Lonchura striata: one gene and its partner. The protein of the gene in region 1 interacts with the protein of each later gene in a pairwise test. Links are inferred from orthologs where the notes say so. Each region holds a gene or a part of one and is shown on either strand. Other genes may lie near its edges.

What was found.
Region 2: the proteins of AP1M1 (region 1) and MTF1 interact in binary tests that used the Homo sapiens proteins (3 or more experiments, as listed by UniProt). The two-hybrid records come from large-scale screens. The link is inferred for Lonchura striata from reciprocal best matches to the Homo sapiens genes AP1M1 and MTF1.

Annotation. Positions count from the first base shown.
Region 1 is NC_134630.1:4,652,997-4,660,945, forward strand, and holds the start of AP1M1 (AP-1 complex subunit mu-1), read right to left. Parts: upstream 3,059-7,949; 5' UTR 3,021-3,058; coding exon 2,979-3,020; intron 1,838-2,978; coding exon 1,681-1,837; intron 1,303-1,680; coding exon 1,235-1,302; intron 735-1,234; coding exon 604-734; intron 466-603; coding exon 318-465; intron 1-317. Other genes in the region: protein FAM32A, read right to left, coding at 4,046-4,114, 4,270-4,323, 4,417-4,555, 4,679-4,755; CIB3 (calcium and integrin-binding family member 3), read left to right, coding at 7,172-7,222, 7,539-7,573. UniProt on the Homo sapiens protein: Subunit of clathrin-associated adaptor protein complex 1 that plays a role in protein sorting in the trans-Golgi network (TGN) and endosomes.
Region 2 is NC_134628.1:4,783,991-4,791,686, forward strand, and holds the start of MTF1 (metal regulatory transcription factor 1), read right to left. Parts: upstream 3,086-7,696; 5' UTR 2,980-3,085; intron 2,715-2,979; 5' UTR 2,676-2,714; coding exon 2,262-2,675; intron 1-2,261. Other genes in the region: INPP5B (type II inositol 1,4,5-trisphosphate 5-phosphatase), read right to left, coding at 3,837-3,961, 4,832-4,943, 5,229-5,356, 5,689-5,773, 6,090-6,203, 6,394-6,629, 6,781-6,943, 7,556-7,666. UniProt on the Homo sapiens protein: Zinc-dependent transcriptional regulator of cellular adaption to conditions of exposure to heavy metals. Binds to metal responsive elements (MRE) in promoters and activates the transcription of metallothionein genes like metallothionein-2/MT2A.

The DNA of each region.
Region 1 (7,949 bases):
CCCCATGCCCTGGGCTTTCTTGGATATGTTTCTTATCAGGAATTAATCCAGTATAGAGGATCAAAGGACATATCCAAAAATCAGCAATACACACAATTAAAGCATTATTTGTACTGGATTTCCTTAATGATTATGTTACTTAATTATTATTACATTACTTAATTAATGATTACATGGGAACTTAATGATAACATTGCTTTGAGTGTCACAGAACACATCCACAATCAGACTTTTTGTTGCAGGTTCGCATACAAAAAGCCCTTTTTAACACTTTTTACTACAATTCTTACATAAAAGTTGAAGTCCAAGGTACCCACCAAAAGGTTAACAGACTCTATGACATCCAGGAACACCTCGTTTTTCCTGTATTTTATCCCTTCTGATCTCCATGAAACAGCATTTGTAACAGTGGCAGGCGGGCGTGGGGCTCCAGTTTCAAGTTTGTGGCCTTCCTGAGTGATGTACCTTCACAACCAGAAAATTGGCACAGAAAAAAAATAAAATTAATACTTTTGATAATTAGAACACACCCAAACATTTGTTTGCCTATGGAAAAAGGCTCAAAACATTCCAAGGGCTTTGTCACTGTTGAGTGATACTTACTCTTGTAAAATTTTACTATCAGTGGTTTGTGGATAACCAAAATCCATAAGCTCATCTAACAACTCATAAATAATAACAAAATTATCCCTAATGCTCTCTTCTTCCAACTCCTTGAAATATTCAGAAAAAACCTGAAATGCAACAAGAGGAGGGGGAGGGAGAAGAAGGACATTAACTGAGGCAGCACAGCACACACAGAAGGTATTCCTGCATCTAAAATAATAATCCTGTAAAGTTCCAACCCCAACCCCATACTTCCCAAACAGCATTCTGCTCAGATCAGCCCCAGGAAACCCACCACAATTAAAACAGATACAGAGAATCATAGAAGAAACTATTATGAAAAAATATCTTTCTGGATATGAAGCAAGCACAGGATCTGTATGAGGCATGACAACACATGCACCAGTTCACAATCTCCTCCAGGTGCTCAGGTCTTGTGTAACTACTTAGAGCACTCTGCCCACACAGCTACAAAATATCAGTGCCCTTATTAGTGGTTAAGAAGATAGTTCAACAAAATAATCAAATATAAAGTAAAAACACTATTGTTGAAGTTCTTAAAAAATGTGAAAGCTCTATGCCCTTCTATTTAGACAGAACATAAAGGTTACTTCTGAAATATACTCACCTGAACTACTTTATATAAAAATGAAAACACCAGTGATACACAAGCATTTTTCTTAGAAGTTGCAACAACTGATAAAGGATGTTCAGGAATATGCATTAAAAAAAAAAACACTTACTAAATGCAGTTTAAAAAGCCTAATTTAAGGCACTTAGAGTTGCCTGGAAGAATTATGCATTAACTACTTAACAGCACTAATGATCTAAAGAGATATGAAGATAACATTCAGGAAGACATTAATTAGAGTAAAATTAGAACACTTTTCTGGACTTTATGCTGCTGGTATATATGACACTATGTAAAGCACAAAAAACCCCTTATTTAATATGACCAACTTTATTGAATATAGCCACTTTATACCACTTCACCCATACTTCAACTTGCATTCTGACATTAAAACCACAGCAGCAACCCTTGGCAGGTCAGCACATCTGCAGCACAAAGGATACGATACAGGTTGTTATGTTTAATCCACATGAAACGAACTCCTCCATGTGCTAAGATAGGAGAAAGCGTCCCCTCTTCTTCCTTTTCCATAAGGATTGGCATAAAATGTTCCACCTCTGACATGTCCACATCTCCACGGTAATTCCGACAGATCAGAACCTGTAAGCAACCAAATCCTTCTTTCTTCTCTTTCACAAGGACGTTACCATGCAAGCCACACAAATGCTGGATAAACCCCTCTAAAATCATCCAGCTTCCCTCAAGCCTCTCTGCATTTGTAAGTGCAAATCACAATGCTGAAACACTTTGCAAACACCAACATGTAATTGCAAAATCTATTAATATTTTCCAGACCTCTATTACTGCTCAGGCTCTAAGAATGGTTTTAGGATAGGAAAATGCACAATTCTTCTGAGCAAAGCAGCTAGGATACCGGCAGATGACAAGAAAAGGGTTTTAAAATCATGGGGATTTAGGGTTAAAAGGAAAATTAAGCTTAGTAGGCCCTGAAAAAATTAAATACCCTAGGTACATGAAGACTTGTACCTTGCTAGAACTGCACCTGTGTACCTAGTACATGATAAATGATATAATTGTTAGATGTGATGATTGCTTAGTAATTAATTACTGTTTAATTGTAAGAATAATCATGAGAAACTGTGGTCAGGGGGCCTAAGGAAGATCACGAGAAACTCTTGTCAATGTATACAATAGAACAATATAAATTTAATAAGTTCCCATCCCCATTGTCAGTTTTCCATTCCCAGTTTTCCATCCCCATTCTCATGCCCACTCCCAGATTTCCATTCCTAATTTTCCATTCCCAGTTTCCCACTCCCAGTTTCAGTTTTCCATTCCAAATTTCCAATCCCCATTCCCATCCCCAGTTTTTATGTAAGTTATATAACGATAATAATATAAAATACGTTCAGCTCGAAAGCCATGTCGGAGTCAATTTGGGTCTGTACCCCTGATTCCCAAAGCTCTCAATAAAAGCACCTGCACATAATCATATCCCGCGATGATGTGTGCTCCTGAACGCTAACACAGAGATTAATCACCCCGGGGATGCCGCCTCACCCAACATCTCTACCGGCGAGGGGCTGCCCACAACTCCCTGTCCCCGTTTACCGGCGAGGGGCTGCCCACAACTCCCTGTCCCCGTTTACCGGCGAGGGGCTGCAGGCCACAACTCCCCCGTCCCCGCTGGGCTAAGCGGGGGCCGGCAGCCCGGGGAGCGGAACGCGGCCCCGCAGCCGTCCCAAGGCAGCGGAACCCGCAGCTCCGCGCCGGGCCTCACCTTCCCCTTCAGGTCCAGCACATAGACGGCGCTGGCCGACATCGCCCCGGCCGGGCCCGTCCCGCCCGCCGCTGCCGCTTCCGCTTCCGCAGGAAGTGACGCCGGCGCGGCGGAAGGACACCGCGGCAGCGCCGTTAAATAGTCCCGGCGCGCCGGTCCGCGGGCTGAGCTGGGCACGGACACACGGAGAGCGTAATTCGGGTTAAGAACATCCCGGTTTGGGAGTTCCGACATCGTGATACATCCCTCAGAGGGGGTAACAATCAAACTCCACACGCCCCATTTCATTCCATCCCAAAAAAGGGGTGGAAGCAGCGTTTTAATAAATTACATCGAATTTACAACTTGCAGCAGACCCCTCTGGAAGACAGAAATGATACTGTTGATACTCAAGATAGAAATGATAACTGTTTGCCACAATTACACACTCGAGAGACACGCTGATTATTTATTTCAGAGCTGCACAAGCCTCGATGCTCGGTGGGATCCCAGAAATCCAGCTATCAAAACTTGGACATCACTCAGAGCTTGTTGGCTGCTCTCTATTTTATGGATTAAACCTCCCTTCTTGCTGGTTAGGCTTGAAAGTATACAAAGATCAAATACCAAAGAATATCCTTTCCTAAAACAATTTTACATATTTCATGTTTTGCAACATGGCCTCTGACAGAACTTGATAGAAAGTAATTATACAATTCACATAACTTACAAGAGAAACTTAATGAGACTGTCAGACTCCACTTGAAAAAAGGAGTACTGTTAGAACTAACAAAATAAAAGGAATGTTTTCCATCTGGCTCACAGCAATTCGTTCTGGCCTTAATCTCACTATAAACACTAAAAAAAAACAGCCCTCTCCATCGATGTAAACCAGAGCTCCTCAGCCCACAGGAGACATTGCTGGATGATTGGTTTTAAATAACAAGTCTATAAAATAAGACAGTATGAAGTCATAAAAGCTCAGAAGATGTATTAGACAATATAGAGAAAAGACAGATTTACATGGCAACCCTGCTTGATACAAACAAAACACAACTCCAGCTCCAGAGCCGTGAAAAGCAGCCCGGTCATTTAGTCCAGCTGACTTTGGGAATGTCGTAATGCTCAGTCAGAGTATCCAAGTGCCTGTTGAAGTCCTGGGGGAGGCAAAGAGAAAGAAAACAGGGTGCTGACATCACCAAGTTGAACCACAAGCCCCCCCTGCGTCCCGGCTTGTGTTTCACAAGGCGGAACAGTTCCTTCAGCCCAACAAAACACGCTGGCCTGATGGACTCGGGATGGTTTTGCTCACCTCCACTCGCTGCTTGTGGGTTTTCGACGCTTTCTTCAGGATCCGTTCCATTTGCTGTAGGAGACACATTAAGGCCGGTTACTCCCGGCACTCGCAGCCCCCTCAGCGGCCGCACCCCAGGGGTGACAGCGGCTTTTAAACCCTTACCCGCTTCTCCTGCATCTTCTCGTAGGCCACCTGCGCCGGGGTCCGCTTGTCCAGCCCGCGCTTCTTCTCCTCCTCCTGCTTCTTGCTGCTCACGATCTGCTCCAGCATCTGGGCCTTGTCTTTCGCCTTCTTCTTCTTCCTGCGGGAAGCGCCCGGTCAGAGCTCAGCCCCGGCGCTGTGTGTCCCCTCCTCGCTCACGGTTCTCCCGACCCCTCCTCACCGCTCCCCGTTCTCCCCCGGTTCCCCCCGGCTCCCCCCTCACCGCTTGCCGGCCCCCAGGGCCCCGCCGCTGCCCTTCAGCCGCAGCGGACCGCGCTGCACTGCCTCGTAGTCCGCCATGGCGGAACGGCCGCGCCCGCGCCCCCTGCCGGCACCGCCGCAACGGCACGGCCGGCGCCGGGAGCCGCGCGCGAGCCCCGCCCGGCTTCTCCGTGAGGGGACCGGGAACGAGCCCGCCCGGCTTCTCCGTGAGGGAAACCGGGAACGAGCCCGCCCGGCTTCTCCGTGAGGGGGACCGGGAACGAGCCCGCCCGGCTTCTCCGTGAGGGGAACCGGGAACGAGCCCGCCCGCCTTCTCCGTGAGGGGAATCGGGAACGAGCCCCGCCCGGCTTCTCCGTGAGGGAACCGGCCCGTCCGTGAGGGGAACCGAAGCGGCCATGAGGTGCCTTGCACCTCCGTGAGGGGACCGGCCTCTCAGTGAGGGGAACCGGGACGGCCATAAAGCCGCCTTGCATCTTCGTGAGGGGACCGGCCTCTCCGTGAGGGGAGCCGGGAACGAGCCCGCCCGGCTTCTCCGTGAGGGGAACCGGGACTGCCATGAGCTGCCTTGCATCTTCGTGAGGGGGACCGGGGACGACCCCTGCACGGTTTCTCCGTGAGGGGAACCGGGACTGCCATGAGCTGCCTTAGCACCTCCGTGAGGGGAACCGGTAACGAGCCCCGCCCGCCCCTCCGTGAGGGGAACCGAAGCGGACATTGAGCCGCCTTAGTACCTCCGTGAGGGGAGCGGGCAGTGAGCCCAGTCCGGGGGTATCTCTGTGAGGGGAACCGAAGCAGGACTTGCAAAATATGGAATATATCAAGATTATTTAAAAATAGAATTTTTTTTTGATGTAAACTCTTTCTATACTTTCAAACCTATTCAGCAAGAAAGGAGATGTAATGAATGGGAAGACAGCAGCTAGCAGCCCTTAGTCAACAACATATGGGAATTAACAAGCTTTAGGGATGTAGTAAATCAAAATGTTGATGTATGTGTGTGTATACATTGATAATTTGGCAAAGGATTCAAGGTCTGTATATCCTACAGCTGAACTAGCTGAACTATCTTCATTATAATACTTAAGATCATGCCTAAGGGTCAAAAAGACCTTGCCCAGGTGCAGACCCTTCCCCATTGCATGTGGAGAAGTTAGCTGGGGATTGTCTAACTTGTATGGAAATTACTAAATAATCTTAATAGAGAGGCTGACCTTGGAAAAAGACGATGAACTTCTGTAAATAATGGCGTGGAAAGTCCAGTGGGGTGTGTTGGATTTGTGGAAACCCACCAAGCATCCAGGCTTGTGCAAATAATATCTCTCTCAACTGTGTAATTATTGGCTTGTTGCACATCACATAATAAATCTGATTTTGAGGACAACAGGATGGAATTGCCTTGAGGAGAACACCTGGAGATCTAGGCTACACCAGGAGGGACCAGCCCCATCCCTCCCCACACTTCTTGTTGCACTCTGAACAGAACCATTCCAGATCGTTTTTGCTATGGGAAGATACCCTGAGGAGCAAGCCTGCCCCAGGAAGAGATCTTCCACCAGTCAGAGGGAACCAGTGACCCAGAAATAGAAACTTTACAGCTCCATGAAAAAGCAGCCTGTTCCAGTTCCTCCTTTTTTCCCCTTGTTTTTCATCTTTCATAGCATCACATTTCTGTTCACAGGTATGAACTATACACTCACACATCTTTTCAGTGCAAAGGCCGTGTATGAATCAGTATGGATGGATGTCATGCTAATCACCATTAATTAGTAGTAAGATACGTCAGCAGATGATGCAGAAGGAAGGGAGTGAGCGGAATTTATGGTTACTACCTCCAGTACAAGCTACCACCAGCATTAGTGTATTTTAACAATGTGCATTAAAGGAAAATACTGGCACAGGCTGCCCAGGACAGTGGTGAAGTCACCATCCCTGGAAGTGTTCAAAAAAACATGTGGATGTGGCACCTGAGGACATGGAATATTGGTGATCTTGGCAGTGCTGCATTAATGATCTAAAAGGGCTTTTCCAAGGGCTTTTATAATTCTGACCCTATAAAATATGAGAAGGAAAGGAGGAGGGGCTACCAAATTTCCATCATTTGGTGTTAAATTTTAAAGGAGGAAAATGCTGCTAACACTTTTCAGTTTATTCACCATATCTGAAGGCATGAAAAAGCAGGGTCCACTGGGTCTTCTTGCAACTGAAGGGCACTAATGAGCAGCTATTACTTATTTGGCTAAATCCTGTAACCCGAGTCTTCGTGGTGCACACAGGAGACGGGTGAATGCTGCTGGATAAGAGCCTCAAGCAGCTAGACTAAAGATTTGATGAAATGCTCCTATTATGATACTTTGCAGCCTGTACAAGTTGGTTACCTGATCCTCTGCTGTACCTGAGCCTCATTGTTGCAGCTTTTAATAACTGAATATCCAGAGGACCTATAAAGGTGCCTTTGAGGAAAGAACTGACAGGAGTCAGTATTCCCTGCTCAAAATGGGCAACAAGCAAACCATTTTCACTCAGGAGCAACTGGATGCATATCAGGTATAAAGCAAACTAAATGGCTCTTTGGACAGGGCATTGAATAATGGCAAAGGTATTGTTGGGTTTTTAAAAACATCATCTTTTAAAAATTAATAAGTAGACATACTGAATTGCAGCAAAGATTTTAGTAACATAGTTTGTTTTTTATATCAAAAGGAAAGATTATAAAATATGCCTAAATGTATGCCATTAAGAATTTTTAAATGCTTACATGTACACTATAGTATAAATTCATTTAAGTCACTGCATGGGAAAAGTTTGGGTCGATGCATGCTAAAAACTGTCATTTTGTGTTATACCTTTTCTTACTTCATAGGACTGCACATTTTTCACAAGGAAAGAAATTCTCAGGTGAGTCTTCTGTATGCATGTTGTGAATAAAGGGCAGAGATTGCTGTAAAGGCAGGTTACATATGGAGTAAGGTATTTAAAAAATAATTTTTAAATGGATTTACTAAAATTTAAAGTGATACTTTGGGGCAATCTGAACATTTTTGTTGGCTTTTTTTAAATTTACAAACCCTATCCTTAACTGAGTCAGAATTCTAAATTTTGTATTAACGTACTAGTCCCTCTGTTTATTAGAAATAAATACAATTAATTACATCTTAGTGGCAGCGACATCCATATTTTTTTCACGTGGTTTTCCGACAGATGCTTCAAAGTGTGCTGTTATTCTCTGGAATACTTTGCTGGTTTATGAAAACTTTAATGATTGTGTCAAGTT
Region 2 (7,696 bases), on another chromosome or scaffold:
TCACAAATCCTTCCGAGCACACCACAGGCAGCAGCAATATCACCAGCACGTTCTGAGCAGAACAAACCTTTCTGTGAAGCACCACAGCATTTAATTCTCTTTTCACATTAGCACACTGTTCATACACACAGAACCAGCAGAGATTTGATTTGATTTGTCCCTGAAAGCCTCGCAGGGACAGCAGCAAGAGCTCCAGGCTGCCACAGCACCAGGGCACAAGAGGAAACAAAAAAGGCAGCAGAGGCCAAGCCCTGGCAGGCAGGACAGGGCCCAGGGACTTTGAGGCCAAACACTCTGGCTTTTGGCCAGGGACACTGAGGTGCTGCTGGAAGAGACGTGATCCAGCATTTACCTCAGAAATGGGAACTCGTTGTGCAATATCCAGCAGGGCTGGAGAAAGCAGAGCCTCACACCCTGGTTCAAAGTCTACAGTAACTGCTCTGTTTGCCTTTAACTCTTCCTGGGCTTACCACATTCCCCCTAAATGGCTGCATTTTCTGTGTCATCCCTGAACAAACAACTGGATTTGAAATATGAAACTGCAATCGTGTTTGTTCTTACCAACACAAGTACAGTGAGATTTATAACAGAATAATAATTAAAAAAAAGCCAAAGGTGCTAAAGTGCAAAATCCCCTTTTTAGCTTCATAAATGTCGAAGGCTGACTTGAAATTCTAAGGCTTTAAAACAATTATCTCAAGTGTTAAAAATGTTGCAAGCATTTTGCAAGTACCAAAGAACAGAGCTGCTGATTTTCAGAGCTGACCCAGATGCTTGGGAGCTTTAGAGCTTTCCTTTCCTCACCTCCAGACAATTCAGCACACCTTTGAAACAGCAGGCAAAAAGGCCTTTCACACGTGCTCAGGGCTCAGTGCTTTCACATTATGGTATCACTGCTCTCTGTTCTGGGAAATTAATTCCAGAAATGGAAAATAAATTCATATGAAGCATTTCACTAGGAAATTCCACACCCTACAAGCCTTCTATAAGAAGCAAGGGTGAAAAAATGAAGTCAGTTTAATTGCACATGCAGCCACGGACCCTGTTCAGCTCCCACCCCCTGCTCTGGGAGCAGCTCAGGGTCCCACAGGGAGGAGAGCAAGTGAAACACTTCAGCAGCTGCTGAGTGGCAGCAGGAGGCTCAAACAGGCTCCCTGAACACACCTCAGCCCAGGAGCTCCCCAGCTGCAGAGCTGAGCCACCCCCAGCCCCATTTCCAGCACTCAGCCACCAGGGTGACAGCTCTGTGCTGATGAACAGGACCCAGTGTCACAGCCTGTGCCACTGGCACTGCCACCTGCACTCATCACCCCTCACATGCCTCAGGCAGGCCAAATGAGGAGCACCAACCTGTCCCCGAGCTGGTGTCACAGCCAAATTCCCCTTGCTCTTGCACCCAAACAGCAGAGCCCAGCCCCACAGTGCATCCAGACAGAATTCATCAGGGAATCAAAATTAAGAGTAAACTCCATTTTAACCATGCAGCCTGGCCTGAGCTTTCAAAACACATCAGATGGCACTTTAAAGCAGCTGCTTTAACTTTAACTTTTCTTCTCACAGGCTCCCTGTGACACAATAAAACTACAAATCACTTAAAATTTGGCATCTCACGTTCGGTACTCCAGCTCCCAGCAATGGCCTGGCCCTTAACTGTGACCTGAATGTGCCTTTTTTGAGAATGTGGCCAAACCCAGAGCAACAGCTCAGGTTGTTTCAGCTGCCTCTGACTCACTAAATAATGACCTGAGCAGAAGAAAACCTGAAGATCAGTAAAACTACACACAAGCATGTGCCAGTGCCACACCCTCCTGCCATCCAGTGCCACCAAGTGCCTTCTGGCAGCTTCCTAGGGCAGCAGGTGGTGTCAGAGGGAAGAGGGATGGCCCTGGCAGCTCTGCTGGGACACGGTTCTCCCCTGCACACTGCAAAGCTGGGGCTGGCAACCAGAGCAGCTTTATGCTCCAGTACACAAAACTCCTCAAAAACGAGCAAAACCACTGCTCCCTCCTGAAAAAACAGCAAAACCACTGCCACTTTCCTGGAAAAAAAAACAGCAAAAGTGCTGCCCCTCTCCTGAGAAACAGCAAAACTGCTGCTCCTCTCCTGAGAAAAACAACAAAACTGCTGCTCCTCTCCTGAGAAACAGAAAAACTGCTGCCCCTCTCCTGAGAAAGCAACAAAACTGCTGCTCCCTCCTGAAAACCAGTCCATTTTCAAAGCCCTGAAGGTGCACAAAGCCCAGAATCAATTGAGCCACTCACCTCCTTCCGCTTGGTTTTTGGGCACTCCGACTGCAAGGTGAGAGTTGCTCCTTCAATATTCCTTGGCATGGGAGTTGAACCAGGATTTATCGTTAGATGAATCTGATCTGGAGAAATAATATGTTGCACATAACCCTGTGACATCCCTTCATGATCTGGTATTAAATGGAATCCTTCTTCGTGACCCTCGGGTAAAAAAGGCAAGTGGTCACCGCACTGTCCTTCATCCTCCTCATCCTCCAGCACACTGTGGTCCTGCTCGATAAGCACAGTTGTCCTGTCGTATACCGTCCCGGACGAGGAGGACACCAGCCCGTTTTTGTCGGCAAACCTCATCATATTTTCATCTTGGGCTAAGTCTTCTTCCTCCGCCTCACAGCACACGGCGTTGCCTTCGGGGCTGTTCTCACCCATGGCTCCGCGCTACCGGCAGCTCCCACCGGAACGGCTCATCTGCAACGCAACGAGAGGCGGACGGGGGTCAGGCGGCTCGGCAGGGCCCCGTTCCGCCCGCAGGCACAACCCCGGGGCGGCCGGTGGCGGCGGGGCCGAGCCGGGCCGAGCGCCGCGGTCCCGCCCTGAGCGCGGCGCTACCCCCACCCGGCCCGCTGCCGCCAACAGCCACTCCCGCTGCCCGCGCCAACCGCGCTGCTCCGTGCTCGGCTCGCTCGGCTCGCTCAGCCCTCCCTCCGTCCCTGCCTCCCCCTGCCCCGCTCACCGGGTGCCGGCGGCTCCTTCCCCGCCCCAGCGGCACCATGATCGCCGCGACCGCGCTTCCGCTTCCGGCCGCGCGCCGCACGCCGGGAGCGCCGCGCCCGCCGCGGGGGCCGACGGGAAGGGGGAGGGCGGGCGGGAGGAGCGCAGCGCCCCCTAGCGGCCGCGCGCCCCTCACGGCCCTCAGCCACCGCGGAAAGATGTTTTTATTTAAATAGCAGCGGCTTAAAAACTCGCCTCGTTTTAACAAGTTAAATAAAGTACAGCGAACATATCAGCTCTCTTTTTTTTTAACTAGTCTACATACAGCTTATTGATAAATTTGATGTACTTTGCGGCGTAATCAGGTGTCAAACTGCCTGATCTCCACCTTCGAAAGCAATAGATTGTATAAAACACTGTGATAGCAAAAAAGTGCCAGTATAATGTCCTCGTTTTAATAAATAAAATACAGTGAACATATCAGCACTCTTTTTTTTAAAATTCATCTATGTACAGCTTATTGGGAAATTTGATGTACTTGACAGCGTAATCAGGTGTCAAACTGCCTGATCTCTGCCTTCGAAAGCAAGATTGTATAAAACACCATCATATCAAAAAAAGTGCCAGTATAATGTTAAATAAAATACAGTGTACATATCAGCTCTCTTTTTTTAAACTCATCTATGTACAGCTTATTGGGAAACTTGATGTACTTTGCAGCTTAATCAGGTGTCAAACTGCCTGATCTCCGCTTTCAAAAGCAACAGATTGTATAAAACACCGCCATATCAAAAAAAGTGCCAGTATAATATACAAAAAAAATATATATTTTTTTACAGCAATTCAATGTCTACAAGTGAGATTAACCGCATCTGAGGTTCATGATAAATGATCTTCTCTGACGAGGAACTGGTGGATAAACTGCTGCGCTTTCCTCTTGGCAGCGATGTCAGGCGTGGCGTGGCCGGGGGGCGGCCGCAGCAACAAACCCCCGAACACGCTGGCTGCAGGGAAAGCACACGGACACACGGTGAGAGCAGCAATCGAGGCACCCTGTGGGAACCCAGCACATCCCTCTGGCTGCCCCGGCTGGCCCAGACCCTGGCAGGGGGCTCAAAGACCTTGGCACAAAGTCAAAAACACCTGTGAGTTCGATTTTAGCCAGTGGAAAAAGCTGCCAGTTCTGTATGAGGAATTACAAGCCACAAGGGTTTGAGTAGTGTGGTAGTTGAGTTAACACAGGGTGGAAAAGTAGAAATTTGGGGTTTTTAGACTAGGATTCAGGGGGATTTGGGCATATCCTAGCCTTCTTCTCCTTCTTCTTGCTCTCCATGTCTTGGTGTGATGGTGACACTTTGCTATTGGTTTAAGGTAGAGACAAACTGTCTAATGTAAGTGATAGGTATTGGCAGGTTATTGTAAACACAGTACACGTAGTTTTTGGTATAAAATGTAAACACCACCCTGAGGGCACACAGAATGCCATGGCCGACTTGTTAGAGCTCAGCAGGTCAGAGAAAGAATGTTATATATAAGGAAAAATAAACAACCTTGAGAAGCTGACTCTATGCATTCAGGCTCCTTCTTTGGCTGCACAGGTTGGGAAATGAGGACTTTTACACTCTTGGGGTCATCCCATCACCCAGACCCTGAGAGACCCCAGGGAGGAGAGCCTGGCTTTGGTGTGAGGCAAGATAAAGCTGATAGTCCCCACATCTCTGGGCTGCTTTCCCAGACTCCTGTTTTTCTATGGGCTATTTGTTTCTAATAAAAGGTTCAAAGCACTACAAGCCACCACTGCACTGGGGTATGAAGTGTTTTGTTGCCCTACCTGTGCAGCCCCTCTGAACAGAGCGTTATTTTGCTGGCCTTACCAAGAATATTCACATCCAAATGGTTCTTCCCTGAGTTCTTCAGTAGCTCTCGTAGAAATGCCATCAGATATTCGAACACATTTTTATGGCATGCTGGTAGGGCAGAGATAATCTGAGAAAGGAAAAACACCAACATTCACACTGCAGACACAGCAATGCCTTCCAGCTGCGCCTGCCCCCAAAACCCCCCACTCTGCAGGTGCCAACAGCTCTTTACACCCTAAAAGCACCAGTTCCAGATCATTTCTATTAAGAGAGGATTACTGAGAGCAAAACTGGGTGATGGGTGTAGCAGGGGCCAGTTTCCCTGCCCTCCCTGTGGAACTGGTCTAGCAGAGGCCAGTTTCCCTGCCCTCCCTGTGGCACTGGAGCTGGTCCCTCGGGCAGCCAGCAGTACCTGACAGCTCAGCCCGTAGTTGCTGGCACTCTCCAGACAGGAGCTATAGAACCTGCAGCAGATGACAGGCTCAGGAAGGCTCTCCAGGAACAGCAGCAGGGCCTCTGCCACTGAGTGGTTGCTGCCCACTGATCCACTGGTTAAGGAAGAGCACAGCACGACCTAGGGTGCTCCTATTTCTGCTGAAACATGAATGAATTTTGGGTTAGGTGTCCCAGAACTGTGCCTACAGCTCACAGCTTTGGGTTAATCCCCTGGCCTCCACACGAGCTGCTGCTGTTAGCAGCTGGGCACTTGTGTCATTCATTGACATCGCCAGGACTCAGCAGAGGATGACACAGAGCCACGAGGAAATGTAGAGCTCAGGTACCCCAGGAGGAGAGACAGAAGCTTAAAAACCTCTCAGAGTTTTGGCACTCTGGCATAGTGAGCCTTCCTTGACACCAGTCTGAAAGGATACAGAAAGTATCGTACATTCCCTTGTCCAAACAGTCTCGGATTTGCTCAAATTCAGATCTGAGGCCTGGCTGCTGAAACAAGTCCTCCTGCAAAGACAACCCTTTATCAGTACAAGGAAAATAGAACAATTGTGGGTAAATAGAGCAATGTTCCTATAATCTGCCTGGGAAGTCTCTCCAAATTGGTGGTTGTCACCCAAGTCTGCTTGATAGCCGGACACTGCTGGTACCTGGGCACACAGACACGGTCACTAGCACCAAACAGTACAACCTGGGGCATCAGGACCACTTATCTCCATGGCCTTTGGCCAAACACACCCAGCTCGTGGTGACTGCTATTACCAGTATCTTCTTCCAAACTTAACCCAATGCAAACATCTCGTTTTGTGTTTCCAGTGCCAACCTGCTGGGAAGCGTTGCGATTCAAGTGATCCACCATCATCCACAGCTCTTTTGGGATGTCCATAGGCTTTTCCTCTTGGGCAGGATCATCACTCATGTCTACTGGCATCAGGGTCTGAGGGAGGGCAGTGTGGGCAGGAGAGAGACAAACAAAAGGTAGCTAGCCAAGTTCTTATTCAACTTGGCAAAAATACTTCACAAAGCTTATACCTGAGAATTGAGACTTCTTAATAAAAACATACAGGCCTTAGCACCTAGTTTTATTGCTCTTGTGTGTTTGGAAGGGAATCTTGTCTTTAACTCACAAGTCTCCGAATGGATTCTGCTGACATGTCCTGGATTGGTTCCCTCATGTAACACAGTGTATGGATGGGAGACCCAAAGCAACTTGGCAAATAGTTGCCTGTTATGGATAGAAAATAATCCTTCCCATTGACAAGATGCAAGACTAAGATATCTTCAAGTTTTTCCTCTCCAGAGTTTAAGCGAGTAGCTGTTGATTTATTAACAAACACCTCCAGCTCAACTGTGATCTCAGCATCTGCCAGAAGATGATAAAAAACCCACACTCAGTTACAATCAGCATTAAACCAACAGCCTGCAAACAGGCACAGCACTCTCAGAAGTGCAGAGGGAACTAAGCCAGAAGGGGATAATATCAGCAGTAGCACGAGACAAAAGGAGGAGCTCACCTGAGAGCAAGAAGCCCTTACTGGGATTAGCAGTCAGCCACTCCTTGCAGTAGGTTTCCTCATCTGGTTTGCTGATAAATTGGAACTGGCAGGGCACTTGGCCATTGCGGATTGTAAACCTCTCTACCTGCAGCTGCATGTATTTAACATCCTCAAAATGGATCTAGGAACAAATGTCAGTCAACATCATCAGCCGATTCCATCTCCTGTGGTTTAATTTTTAAACAGCAAGACAACTGGATTAACCCCTTGCTGCCACCCCCCTCTCCTCCAGGAGTGCATAGGATCACATGTGCATACTCTGAATGCCAAAGTCCCTTCTGTCAGGGGGCCCTTTAAAACAAATGCTGCCCTCAAATAACTACAATAAAATTGAGAATGAGATAGCTGTGGCCTCAAATGTCTCCTGGGCTTATCTTTATAGTCCCAACACACAAAGCAAATGCTGGTTTGTGACCTTCTCCAGACCCTTACAATTTTACATTTTATGTTTGAAAGCACAAGTCAGAGCAAGGGTCACAAACCACCTTTTTACTTTCTCTCTTCCCACTTCATGGAATTGCACATCTTGTGTTTCAGCCTTGGACTGTGAATGGAATTCACCAACATCTAAATATGAGCAAAGATTCCTAGGGCTTGTAAACACAGAGCAACTGGAAGTCAAAATATTCTACTTTTTGTAACCAGACCCAAGGGTCTAGGATCCATCTTGTGCTGCTGGGCCCTAGGGTTGCTCAGTTCCTTCAGGGAGTGCTGGCACATGCCCATGCCCTACCTCTCTGCGGGACAGTGTCACTGAGGGAATGTTGGCATTCTCCAGCTTATCCAGGGAGCGCACTATTTCCTCAAAGGCTTTTCGGTAGAGCTCTTCATTCACAACCTTCACCTGAAAAGGACACACACTGCACCAGCTAGC